Linked DNA regions of Ovis aries. The protein of the gene in region 1 purifies or fractionates together with the protein of each later gene. This does not show direct contact. Links are inferred from orthologs where the notes say so. Each region holds a gene or a part of one and is shown in the gene's direction. Other genes may lie near its edges.

Evidence for each region. The genes of interacting proteins can lie anywhere in the genome.
Region 2: the proteins of MED13 (region 1) and CDK19 purify together in Homo sapiens (affinity purification with mass spectrometry; 6 studies listed by BioGRID and IntAct, counting the BioPlex papers as one, with this or other methods). This does not show direct contact. The link is inferred for Ovis aries from reciprocal best matches to the Homo sapiens genes MED13 and CDK19.

Annotation. Positions count from the first base shown.
Region 1 is NC_056064.1:10,736,820-10,742,553, forward strand, and holds the start of MED13 (mediator of RNA polymerase II transcription subunit 13), read left to right. Parts: upstream 1-2,355; 5' UTR 2,356-3,088; coding exon 3,089-3,154; intron 3,155-4,948; coding exon 4,949-5,183; intron 5,184-5,734. UniProt on the Homo sapiens protein: Component of the Mediator complex, a coactivator involved in the regulated transcription of nearly all RNA polymerase II-dependent genes.
Region 2 is NC_056061.1:26,908,193-26,913,268, forward strand, and holds part of CDK19 (cyclin-dependent kinase 19), read left to right. Parts: intron 1-1,190; coding exon 1,191-1,301; intron 1,302-2,726; coding exon 2,727-2,867; intron 2,868-5,076.

The DNA of each region.
Region 1 (5,734 bases):
TGCCTCTGGAGTCCTAAGGAAGGTGCTCAAGTTGGGGGCAGGACAGTGGAGGGCGAGACTTCTAAAAAGGTTGGTTTTAAATGAAATAAATGACGGAGGAGAACTTTTCAGGGTGACAGAAGCAGTGGGAGCAAGGGCCTGAGGATTCTCTCCAGGAAAGAGAAATGAGCAGAGGGTCTCTTACCTTGTTGGGTCTGGAGATTGCCATCTCCCAGTGCAGGAACTTAGTTAGAAAGGATGTGAACTTTAGTTGATTTGAGCTCCTGGATTGAATTAGTCCTGGTTGCATAATTGACTTTGATATGTGGCCTTTGGATCTGAATTGGGTTTAATAAGATTTAACTGCTTCAAAGGGCTTTATAAGAATTCATTTTATCCTTCAAATCTGATTTCAAATGCTACCTACTTTGAGCCGCCTTCTCTGACTTTGGTTCTCCTCCAGCACGCCTCTTGTGCCAGTTGATACATACCTTATTCAAGCAATTACCTACATTGTATTTTATCTTATCCTGTGGGAAATGGTTCCTTTGTTGCCTTGCTTCAGGAATCTTTCAGTTCAGTTCAGTCAGTTCAGTTGCTCAGTCCTGTCCGACTCTTTGCAACCCCCATGGACTGCAGCATACCAGGCTTCCCTGTCCTTCCCCAACTCCCAGAGCTTGCTCCAACTCATGCCTATCAAGCCGGTGATGCCATCCAACCATCTCATCCTCTGTCATCCTCTTCTCCTCTTGCCTTCAATGTTTCCCAGCCTCAACCTCTTTTCTAATGAGTCAGTTCCTTGCATCAGGTGGCCAGTGTTGAGGGTTATGCATATATCTTATTCATATTTGTATCCCAGGCCTAGCACAGACCAGGAACACATTCATATGAGTGTGCTCAATAATGATTTTTTAAGGTATATTAACAGATAACATTTAGCAAGCACTGTGGCAAACCCTATGTCTGCAATGTTTCATCCACCAGACACTTTAGGAGGAAAGTACTTTTATTATCCCTATTTCACAATGAGAAAATTGAGAGCAGGAGAAATTAATTTGATCTAAAGTCAAATTTGATCCAAGATCAACTAGTAAGTGGCAGAACTCCTCCTGTAGGTTTTTGGCTTCAATATCTGAGGTCTTCACTACCATATATGAATCAATACAGGAGGAAGGCTTTCCAATCTGTGGCTGAATAAGGGGCATAGAAGAATCCACCATCATTTTACAGAGGCAACTAAGATGAAAAATTATGGTAAAGTCCTAACTCGATGATGTCTCCAATTTTTTGAATCACCTTTACTTCTTCCTCCCTCCCTTCTCCCCTCTTCCCTTCTTTTCCCCTCGCTGCTCTCTTTCCTTTCCATCTCTCTCTCTCTCCCCTTCTCTCCCTTCTAAAACTTAGGAAAAACGTCTTGAGTTCCTACTTTGAAGTATGATCCAATCAAGAACTGTAATGTTTTTTGGGAACGGAACGAATATTTTATTTGGCTCCTACTTCTTTCCATTCAGTCGCAAATTCACAAATATCAAGCACCTACTGTGTGCTAGGAACCTTTTTGAGACACTGGAGACGCAGCGGTAAAGCAAAGTAAGTGCGGGTTCTCACGGAGAGATCACTGTCAGTGGGCATTTTACATACACTTGGGTCACTTACTCCTCACAATAACCACACGAGGTAATGATGACAGCAGTAATAGACAACTCTAAGCAGTGTTTATCTGTGCTGGGCACTGGGCTTACCTACGTGTTTTCTTTGTATTAACTCATTTACCACAACAACCCGTGAGGGAGACATGTCTTCCTCATTTCACAGATGAGTAAACTGGAACGCAGGTAAGTGATCTGCTCAAAGTTCGAACTCAGGCAGTGTCACTCTAACTCCCGGGCTGTGAACCACAAGGCTATACTGTTTCATTTATGTTTCCTTCATAATATTCCAACTTTCGAGCGGCCGAGTCCGGTCTCAGAGGATCTGACGCCCAAGCCCAGGGGTTTGTGCCGCACCCCAACGGCCTTGAGGAATAAGTGAGATTGGCTTGGAATTTTTGCAGTACTTTTCTCTTCCACAGAATCCAAACTGATTTCAACGTAATTCTCAGATTTGTGATTTGAACCCTCTGGTACTGTCAGTTGCCCGGTAAGGAGAGAGAGAGAGGGCCAGGGCCCGGGTCATCGCACACTGGCCGGGGCACCCAGCAGATGGCGCTGTCTCGGTGGCCAACAGCCGGCTGCCCCGTCCCCCGGGGCTCAGCGCCTCCGCTTGAAAGCTTCCCGGCCCTCTCTCACTCCCTTCTCGCTCCCCCTCCCCACGGAGCCTGGGCCCACGTGACCTCGAGGCGGCCAATGGGCGAGCAGAGAGGGCGAGCTGGTCCCTGTGGCCGCCATTAAAGCGAAGGGAAAACCCGTGAATTCGGATTAAAGGGGGAAAAACACCGCCCGCTGGGCCCACAAAATGGGGGAGACTACGGCGTCCCGGCGGTGAGGCCGCAGGAGAGCGGACGTTAGGCCGGTCTGGCTCAGGGACGACACGAAGACACAGCCAGAGAATGGTCTGAGCCCGCAGACGCCGCCACCAACCTCCGCCACTGAGGAGACTCTGGGCTTAAGGACATCGCCGCCGCCGGGCCGGGGGCCTGGGCTTCTCTCCCGGCTCTCGCCCTTCCCGCCCCTCTGCGGGCGCCTCTCCGCCCCGGGAGCAGCCTCCGGGGCTCGGGCTCTGCCCTCTCGGACTCGTTTTTAATTATTTATTCTGTAATTTATTATTTTTTTCTGGTGGCAGGGGCACACATCCCCTCCGTCCCCCGAAGAGGGACGAGCGTCCGCGGGCTCCGCGGCGGCCGCAGCCCGGCCGGCGGGGCGAGCGCGGCGCGGCCCTCCCGCCTCCGGCCCTCGGCCCCGGGCGGCTGGGTGCCGGCCGGGCGGCGGGGGCTGCTCGCGGCGGCGGGGGGGTGGGTGGGGAGGGCGGGCGGCCCGGCGGCCTCCTCTTCCACCGCCCCCCCAACCACCACCCCCCCGCCCTCCCCGGTGTCTGTTTCTCTCTCTGGTCGGAGGCGGCGGTAATGGCGGATGGTGGGTTGTGGCGCCGGCGGCGGCTGCTGTGAGGGACGATGAGTTCCTCCTTCGTGCCGAACGGGGCCAGCCTGGAAGATTGTCACTGTAACCTCTTCTGCCTGGTGAGTGCCGGGCGGGGGCCGCGGCGGGCGGGCGGTGGGGGAGGGGCCGCGAGGTGCGCCCTTGGGCCGTGGGGGAGGGGGTCCGGGTCGGATCCAGATGCCCGAGTCCCCGGGCGAGGCCCGGCCCGAGCCGGCGCCGCGGGAGCCCCGCGCCGGCCCGGAGCCGCCGGCCCGGGCTGCCCTAGGAGCGTCGGCCTTTTCTCCCGTTTCCGACACTTTTCTCGCCCGCGGTCCTGTCTCCCAACTTGGGCTCCTTTCCTGGCAGGACAGCGGCATTTCCCTCCTGTGTTGCTGGCTTAACTGTTGCTTGTCTCCTTATTGACCGTGTATCCCTTTTCTGCCACTTTCTATTATTGCCCATTCTCTCCCACTGCCTGGCTCTGCTCCTCTTATTTTCCCCCGATAAACGAGACCCCGGAACTTAGCACTCTTTTAATTTTACGTGCTTGTTCTTTATAAAGATGAGCCAAACTGTAGGGGGTTCGTTTGTTCCTTGGGTGACTTCAGACTCTTAAAAAAACAGTGAATGCCATTCCGTAGTTTTTCTTTTAAACTTTGAAAGCAGTTGGAGATTTTGACAGTCTCTAGCCGACTTGCTTTTATTAGAACATTAGGTTTGTGAGAGTGGAGCGAACTTATGGAAGAGATGCTATGGTTCTGGACTAAATATTTTTATACAGAAGGCTGCTCCTCTTATTGAAAAGTCAAGGGGAAGCTGGCTCTACGGATGGCAGTTGTGTTGGTTGGCCCCGGTCTGGGAACATCTGAATAAAGACTTTAAAAAGTACCAACTGTTGCAAATACTCAGTCTGCAGTTGGATAGGAGCTTAGCTTCATCAATGATTTGAAGTTTCGGTAACTTTCTTTTTTTCATTTTCCCTGTCCTATGAGGAATATTAAGAGTGTGTGATAGGTAAGTGAATTGAGTGGGCGGAGCACAACTAGTTGGCAAGTGTAAACTGCCAGTCATGTATCAGCAGTTTCATTTTTGGCACCTTAAGCTTGCACTTTTAAGTTAGATTAAAAAATTACTGAATTCATGCTGATAATTTCTTTTACGATACTAAATTGAGATCTTGAATGCCTTTCCCCCTTATAAAATGTTTCTTGTACAATATCCATTAATCAGCATCTCTTCAGATATAGTAGACAAACAGCAGGTTTTACATTTCTGTCTTCTCCAACTCAGTCTATTTTTGGTACTTTTAGGATCGGGTTCTTTGAAGATAAGACTAGCACAAATCTGACAGTTCTTTGTGAGCAGCTATTTGACTTTTCCTTAAAGAGATATATATGTAAAGATTTAACAAGAATGTTTTCATTTGTAGTTGAGATTTCTTTTCCTTAAAGCTGTGACGTCTGTAAACATGGAATGATGAATCTTTAAAAGTTAATTTTGTAGTAAGTTTGATACCAAGAAACAAATGTAACCAGTAAGAACAGAATTTAGGACTGAGAGCAAATGTTTACTCAGTGTGCAGTATTAAAGTCTGTGTTTATATTTAACATTATTAAAGCTTTTTAATTTATCCTTGGGACACATTTATTGACTTGTATTCAGTGACATGTCAGTATTAATTTTTTCAGTGTCTGTTCTTTTCCTTTAATTTTTGGTTGTTGAATTATCAGAATAAACTCCCCCCCCCCTTTCTTTTTTGGTCAGTTTGTTTTCAGTATCTCAAGGATATGTTGAAAAATTGTAATGTCTTAATGAAATAGGGGACTTTAATAGTGAGGACTTTCGATTTTGAGTGAATATGCAATAATAAAAAAATCATACTTTGTTTTCCTCAGGCTGACTTGACGGGAATTAAATGGAAGAGATACGTGTGGCAAGGCCCAACTTCTGCCCCTATTCTGTTTCCGGTGACAGAGGAAGACCCCATTTTGAGCAGTTTTAGTCGCTGCCTTAAGGCAGATGTACTTGGTGTTTGGCGGCGTGATCAGAGACCTGGAAGAAGAGAATTGTGGATATTTTGGTGGGGTGAAGACCCCAATTTTGCTGACCTAATTCACCATGACTTATCAGGTGAAAGCAGCTTATCATTTCTAACTTAAAGATATAGCAATGTTGTATACTTTTCCTAAAAACATTTGTATTACAAATGGAGATTTTTTTGGTGGAACATTTGTTTACTGTGAAACCAGACAAAAATTCAGCTTCATGTTTTATTTCACTGCGGTTATTTTATTTTACTGAAAATTATGCATTTTATGGCAGGTTTTTTGAGCCTCGAATAACTATTCTTTCTTCCACCTCCCAGCTTTCTCATGAATTTCTGGCAGACAGCCCAAGGAAGGCATGTTAGTAAATAAAATTAAGAAAAATGGAATTGGGGAGCATTTCCTAACAAAGTCAAAAAATACTTTTGAAACCATGTGTAACTCATCTTTGAGTCAATTCTGCTACTACTCTCTTCTGTGTAAATAAGCACACAGTTGTAGAAATATCTGGAAATATTGTAACTTTCTCATGTGCTTTTTTTCCCCCCTAGGCATATAGTTTTTTCAGTATTTTTATTTGTGGTTGTTACATTATTAACAAATCAAGGCTTATGTTAATTTTCTTATTCTTGGAAT
Region 2 (5,076 bases), on another chromosome or scaffold:
TAGACATTTAATAAAGTCAAACTCTCTAATTTAATATTTTTCTCTGCCTCGTTCATCTGTTTGTATGTCTGTCTTCCCTTCTGCATTGTGGGAACAGATGACAAGGACTTTATCTGAACTGGAAAAAGCATGGACTTTGGAATCAGGCAGAACTATTTAAATCCAAACCTCTTCTCTTTCTAGTGTTTGACTTTGGTCAAGTTACTTTTTAACACTGAACCCGAGCTTCTGTGTGCATCGTAGGGTTGTTGGAAGGATTAAGTGAGAGAAAAAACAAGTACATAAAATCACCTTGCACATAGAAATTATTCAGTACAAGCTTTGTCCCCTCTTCCTTTGTGTATTTTCCACGGAGCTTTACATTTAAAAGGCATTTGAAGTATTTAACAAATTGAGTGTGTTTATACCTATTAAGTCTGAACCCTGGTTAAGGACGGTGTGAGGCGGGCATATTTAGAAGACTTCCACCTTGAGCAGCTAATGTTATTGTTGCTTAATATTTTATCAAGCAACTGCCTGTTATGGGCCAAGAACTAAGTTTTCACTTGCTGATATGGTCTATCTTTCCTTCTTATTATCAGAGTCCAGCTTGAAGCTTCTGCTTTGTGAAAGGCCTAGTCTTTTCTCTTTTTATAGGGCCTCTTTTCTATACCAGTTTTATCAGTGGGTGTGAGACTCATTCTGTTATGCTCTCTACTCTTCTGAAAAACCTGTCTCAGGCTCTTGGCATGGGTAAATTAGCTAGGGATTGTTAAACATCTTTCCGCCTTTTGTCAAATTGAGCACATACTATGTTGGAGTGGATATAAACAGTATTCCTGCTTCCCTAGAAGCTTTTCCTCTAGTCAAAAAAAAAAAAAATTACACACATGCCAAAATACACTTCATTATTTAGCAATATGGTATTATTTTTGTTTACTATTTTACATCTTACCATGTAAAAGGATCCCGTTTTCCCAACATACATATTACAGAGGAAGGATTGGAAAGAGATGTACCAAGATGTGGACAGAGTTTATCTCTAAGTTATGGTATTTGGGTGGTCGGGTTGTTTTTTTTTTTTTTTTTTTTTTCCTTAAACACTAGTTATCTGTATTGGCTAAATTTTCAAAAATTTCCTTTTGAAGTTATGGGAAGTGCATTACTCTCTGCTAACAGAATAGTGACCCTTCTCTTCCTCTTGCCTTCAGCTTTTGCGAGAATTGAAGCACCCTAATGTGATCGCCCTGCAGAAGGTGTTCCTTTCTCACAGTGACAGGAAGGTGTGGCTGCTGTTTGATTATGCAGAACACGATTTATGGGTAAGTCTAAACTCACTTTATTTTTAGGATAATAATTTTATATAGGTATGAAGAATAAATGTATGTGCTCCATACTGCTAATGTACAGCAAGGAAAACTTGCTCTGTTGACCATAGTTTCAAAATAAATATTCTAAAGGTAAATTTTGATTTAAAAGAATTAGAGTAATAAACATGAACATCCTGTTTTATAGTATTTGTCACATTCAGAAATTTCACTTCAAAAAATGTTCCTGAGTGGGAGATTGTAGTTTTAGGTAGTTAATGGCAGTTTCCTAATATGTTCTAGGGAAATTACTTTCTTTTGCACTGCACACATATTTAACTGTTCATATTTAACAGTTATGTGCTTGTGAATCGTTTTCCTCTCTAAGTGAAGGTCCTCTCTTGCAGCATTTTGCCATTTAAAATTCACTCCACCAAACAAATATGTACAGGTCTGCAAACATTAGGGATTTTTTTAAAACAATAAATAAAAGAAGCCAAAAATTCTAATTTCACATGTTTAAAGTTAGGAATCAAGTCATTTAAACATTTTATCCCAGGAGCTCCCAAAAGTAAAAAACAAATTCAAACTTGGCAATAAGTTCAAACTTCAGATAATTAAATTTTGATTCAATAGAATGTGGTTTGTCATTTATATAAATTATAACTCTTTTCAAAAATAACTTTAACAGACTAATAGGCCTTGAAAGAAATGTCCTTATAGCAGATCTTGACAAGAACCTCTTCTGTCACGAATATCTAGTACCCATGTTGGCATGTTTTGGGCAAATGTTGGATGGAGATGGAGGTGGATGTGGGAGTGCAGGGGGCAGGTGGAATTTCTTCCCCTCCCACAGTATAACATGTGCATAAAAATTTGGATATGATGATCCAATTTATATTTATTTCAGTGCAGTTGAATTCCCCATTTTTCTCTTCCTGCTTGTGTCTAGTGACTGCTATTTACTATTGACTACTCAGGCTATATCCTAATTTCATTATGTGACAAAAGAAGGTGGAGCTTTCCAATAATTCTGATATACATGCAGTCAGTAATGTTACCCAAATGCACTAAGTACTAACTTTATTTTATAGAACAGTAAAGATTTACAGACTTTTTTTCCCCTTTTCCTTCTGTCAGTAGAGAATACAATTAATGCTATTTTAAGGCAGGTTTTAAATTATAAACCCTTTTTACTTCTTGGTTTTACTTAATGCAAATCTTAATGGTTTCAGTAAGTCATCACAACAACCACATTAATAATGTCACATTCACCTTCAATATAGATTCTGTTTTGGTTTGAGCTTATTATTTATTTTTCTTTGTGTCATTATTGGCCTTTAATAAGTAATTTTAAAATGTACTTATTGCAGCCTTTATTGTGTTTTGTTGACACAGGCAAAGACTATGTTATTCTAATATATATTTTCTAATTTTTAGCATATTATTAAGTTTCACCGTGCATCAAAAGCAAATAAAAAGCCCATGCAGTTGCCAAGATCTATGGTTAAATCATTACTTTACCAGATTCTTGATGGGATCCATTACCTCCATGCAAATTGGGTGCTTCACAGAGATCTGGTAAGTATGTTTCTTTTAAATTGATCAGTGTTTTGTTCTCTCCTTGTAAAAATAACTTTTCTTCTTGGTACAGTTATGATGAACATTAATTATAGAAAAATTTGAAAATGCACGTAAGCAAAAAGAAGGAAATAAAAATCACCCATAAGCCTATGATCAAAAGAGTACCATTATTAACTTTTAGCGTATGTTCTTTCCTTGCATTTACACACAACTGTTAAGTGTCAATGTGGTTTTTAACAAATGACCTGCATAATCTTAATGAGATGGCTGTACGTAAAACAAATACCTTGTAATCCATTTTGTTTTTCATAATTTTGCTTACTGTTCGTAAAAATGTTGATGATTAAAGACTGAGTTCTTATTGTTTTCAAAGCTGAACTGAAATAATGACATTGCATTCAGTAAGTAGAATTAAGTAAATGAATAAATCTAACAGAGGCAATATACTTATTAGGCATATTAACCACAATTCAAATATTTGATTTTACTTTTTTACTCAGCACACACATAACAAAAATTTATTAATATCAAATTATATGTTATACATCTTTTCATTGTTATTATTTTAGTTTATGTTGATGAAATTCTTTTGTTTGTTCTTAAGAAATATGGGTGCTGAATAGCTGTAATACCCTTGAGTTTATAATTGGAACTTTTATTTTGCTTAGGCTTTTGGAGATTCTAGGGATATAGTAGGGATAAATCTAGGTCGACTCAGTTCTTTTAACTGAGGGGAAGTATTTATTATAGAAAGGAATGCTACCTTGTCAGTTAGGCCTAGTCTTCCGACTTGAGCATCTCGTGATATGGCATTTAAGTTAAATTGGGGCCAAAGGACAGCACAGAGCTGCATTTACCATTTCAACAGAAGCATTTCACCTCATAATTTTAAACTGAGGTTCTCATTGCATTCCACATATCTGCTTTACTATTACCTGTGAATCAGCATGTATGAAAATAATTCTTGGGTACATGAAGTTCTAGGTCAAACCCTCCTTCATAAATGGTTTTAGATTTTAATTTGCTACTTAATATAGCCTTGTGAGTTATATTCTTGAGGTCATATTCGTGTTTGAATCATTTATCAGAATCCTTTACTGAACGTTAATCTCAACTCTTCTTTTCATAAAATTGTGTATTTCTTCTAAGTAGGATGTGTCATTAGTGTGTTAGTTGCTCAGTCATGTCCCACTCTTTGCAACCCCATGAACTGTAGCTTTAATGAAGATTAATCTCAACTCTTTTTTTGTAAAATTTCATATTTTTTCTAAGTAAGATAGTTTGACACATTTTACTTGTGATGGCACTGCCTGCATGTCCAGTAGTACTAAAACCTGGCATAGCCAGGACTCAGTTTTCTCCCACCCAAACTCGCTACTGCTTTTAGTCCTCTATCCTGGTGATGGGGACTTCCCTGGTGCTTCAGATGGTAAAGAATCTGCCCGCAATGCAGGAGATCCGGGTTGGATCCCTGGATTGGGAAGAGCCCCTGGAGAAGGAAAGGCTACGCACTCCAGTCTTCTTGCCTGGAGAATTTCATTGACAGAGGAGCCTAGTGGGCTACAGTCCATGGGGTTGCAGAGTCAGACACACTGAGCAACTAACACTCATAGACATCCTGGTGATGGTACAACCCTCCTTCTAGCCGAGATACTTCTTTTACCACTTGCAGACCCTTGTACTCCACATCTGGAGCCTGTCTAGTCCGGTCAGTTTCCCCACTGAAGTCTCTCTTCCATTCATCTGCTGCTATTCCTATGCCTCGTTCCTAGTTCAGGCCTTTCCTATCGTTTTCTTGTAGGATGGTGCTAGCCTCTTGTCTCCTTGTCAGCCATCCTTTTCCCTTCCAGTCCACTGTAGACCTTCAGAATAATTACTCAGTCCCTGCTCAGGAACTTTGAAATAGTTCCTCACTGCTAAGAGACTAAAGCTCTCATTCCTTTTTTGGCTTCTGAGGTCTTGTCAGGTATACCTCTAGCTGCCTTAAAAATTTTTCTCCTATATCCCTATAATCTCTCACATACAGTATACTATTGAACTACTGATTATTCCTTAGATTCTCCTGAGATTTCCTGCCTCAGTGGCATTTATTTCTCTTGTCTTAAAACACTTTACCCTGTCTCCACGTATTCAGATATTACCTGTTTTTCAGAACTTGCACAAATGTTAAACTTATCCTCATATCCATCCCTACTTGGAAATAACC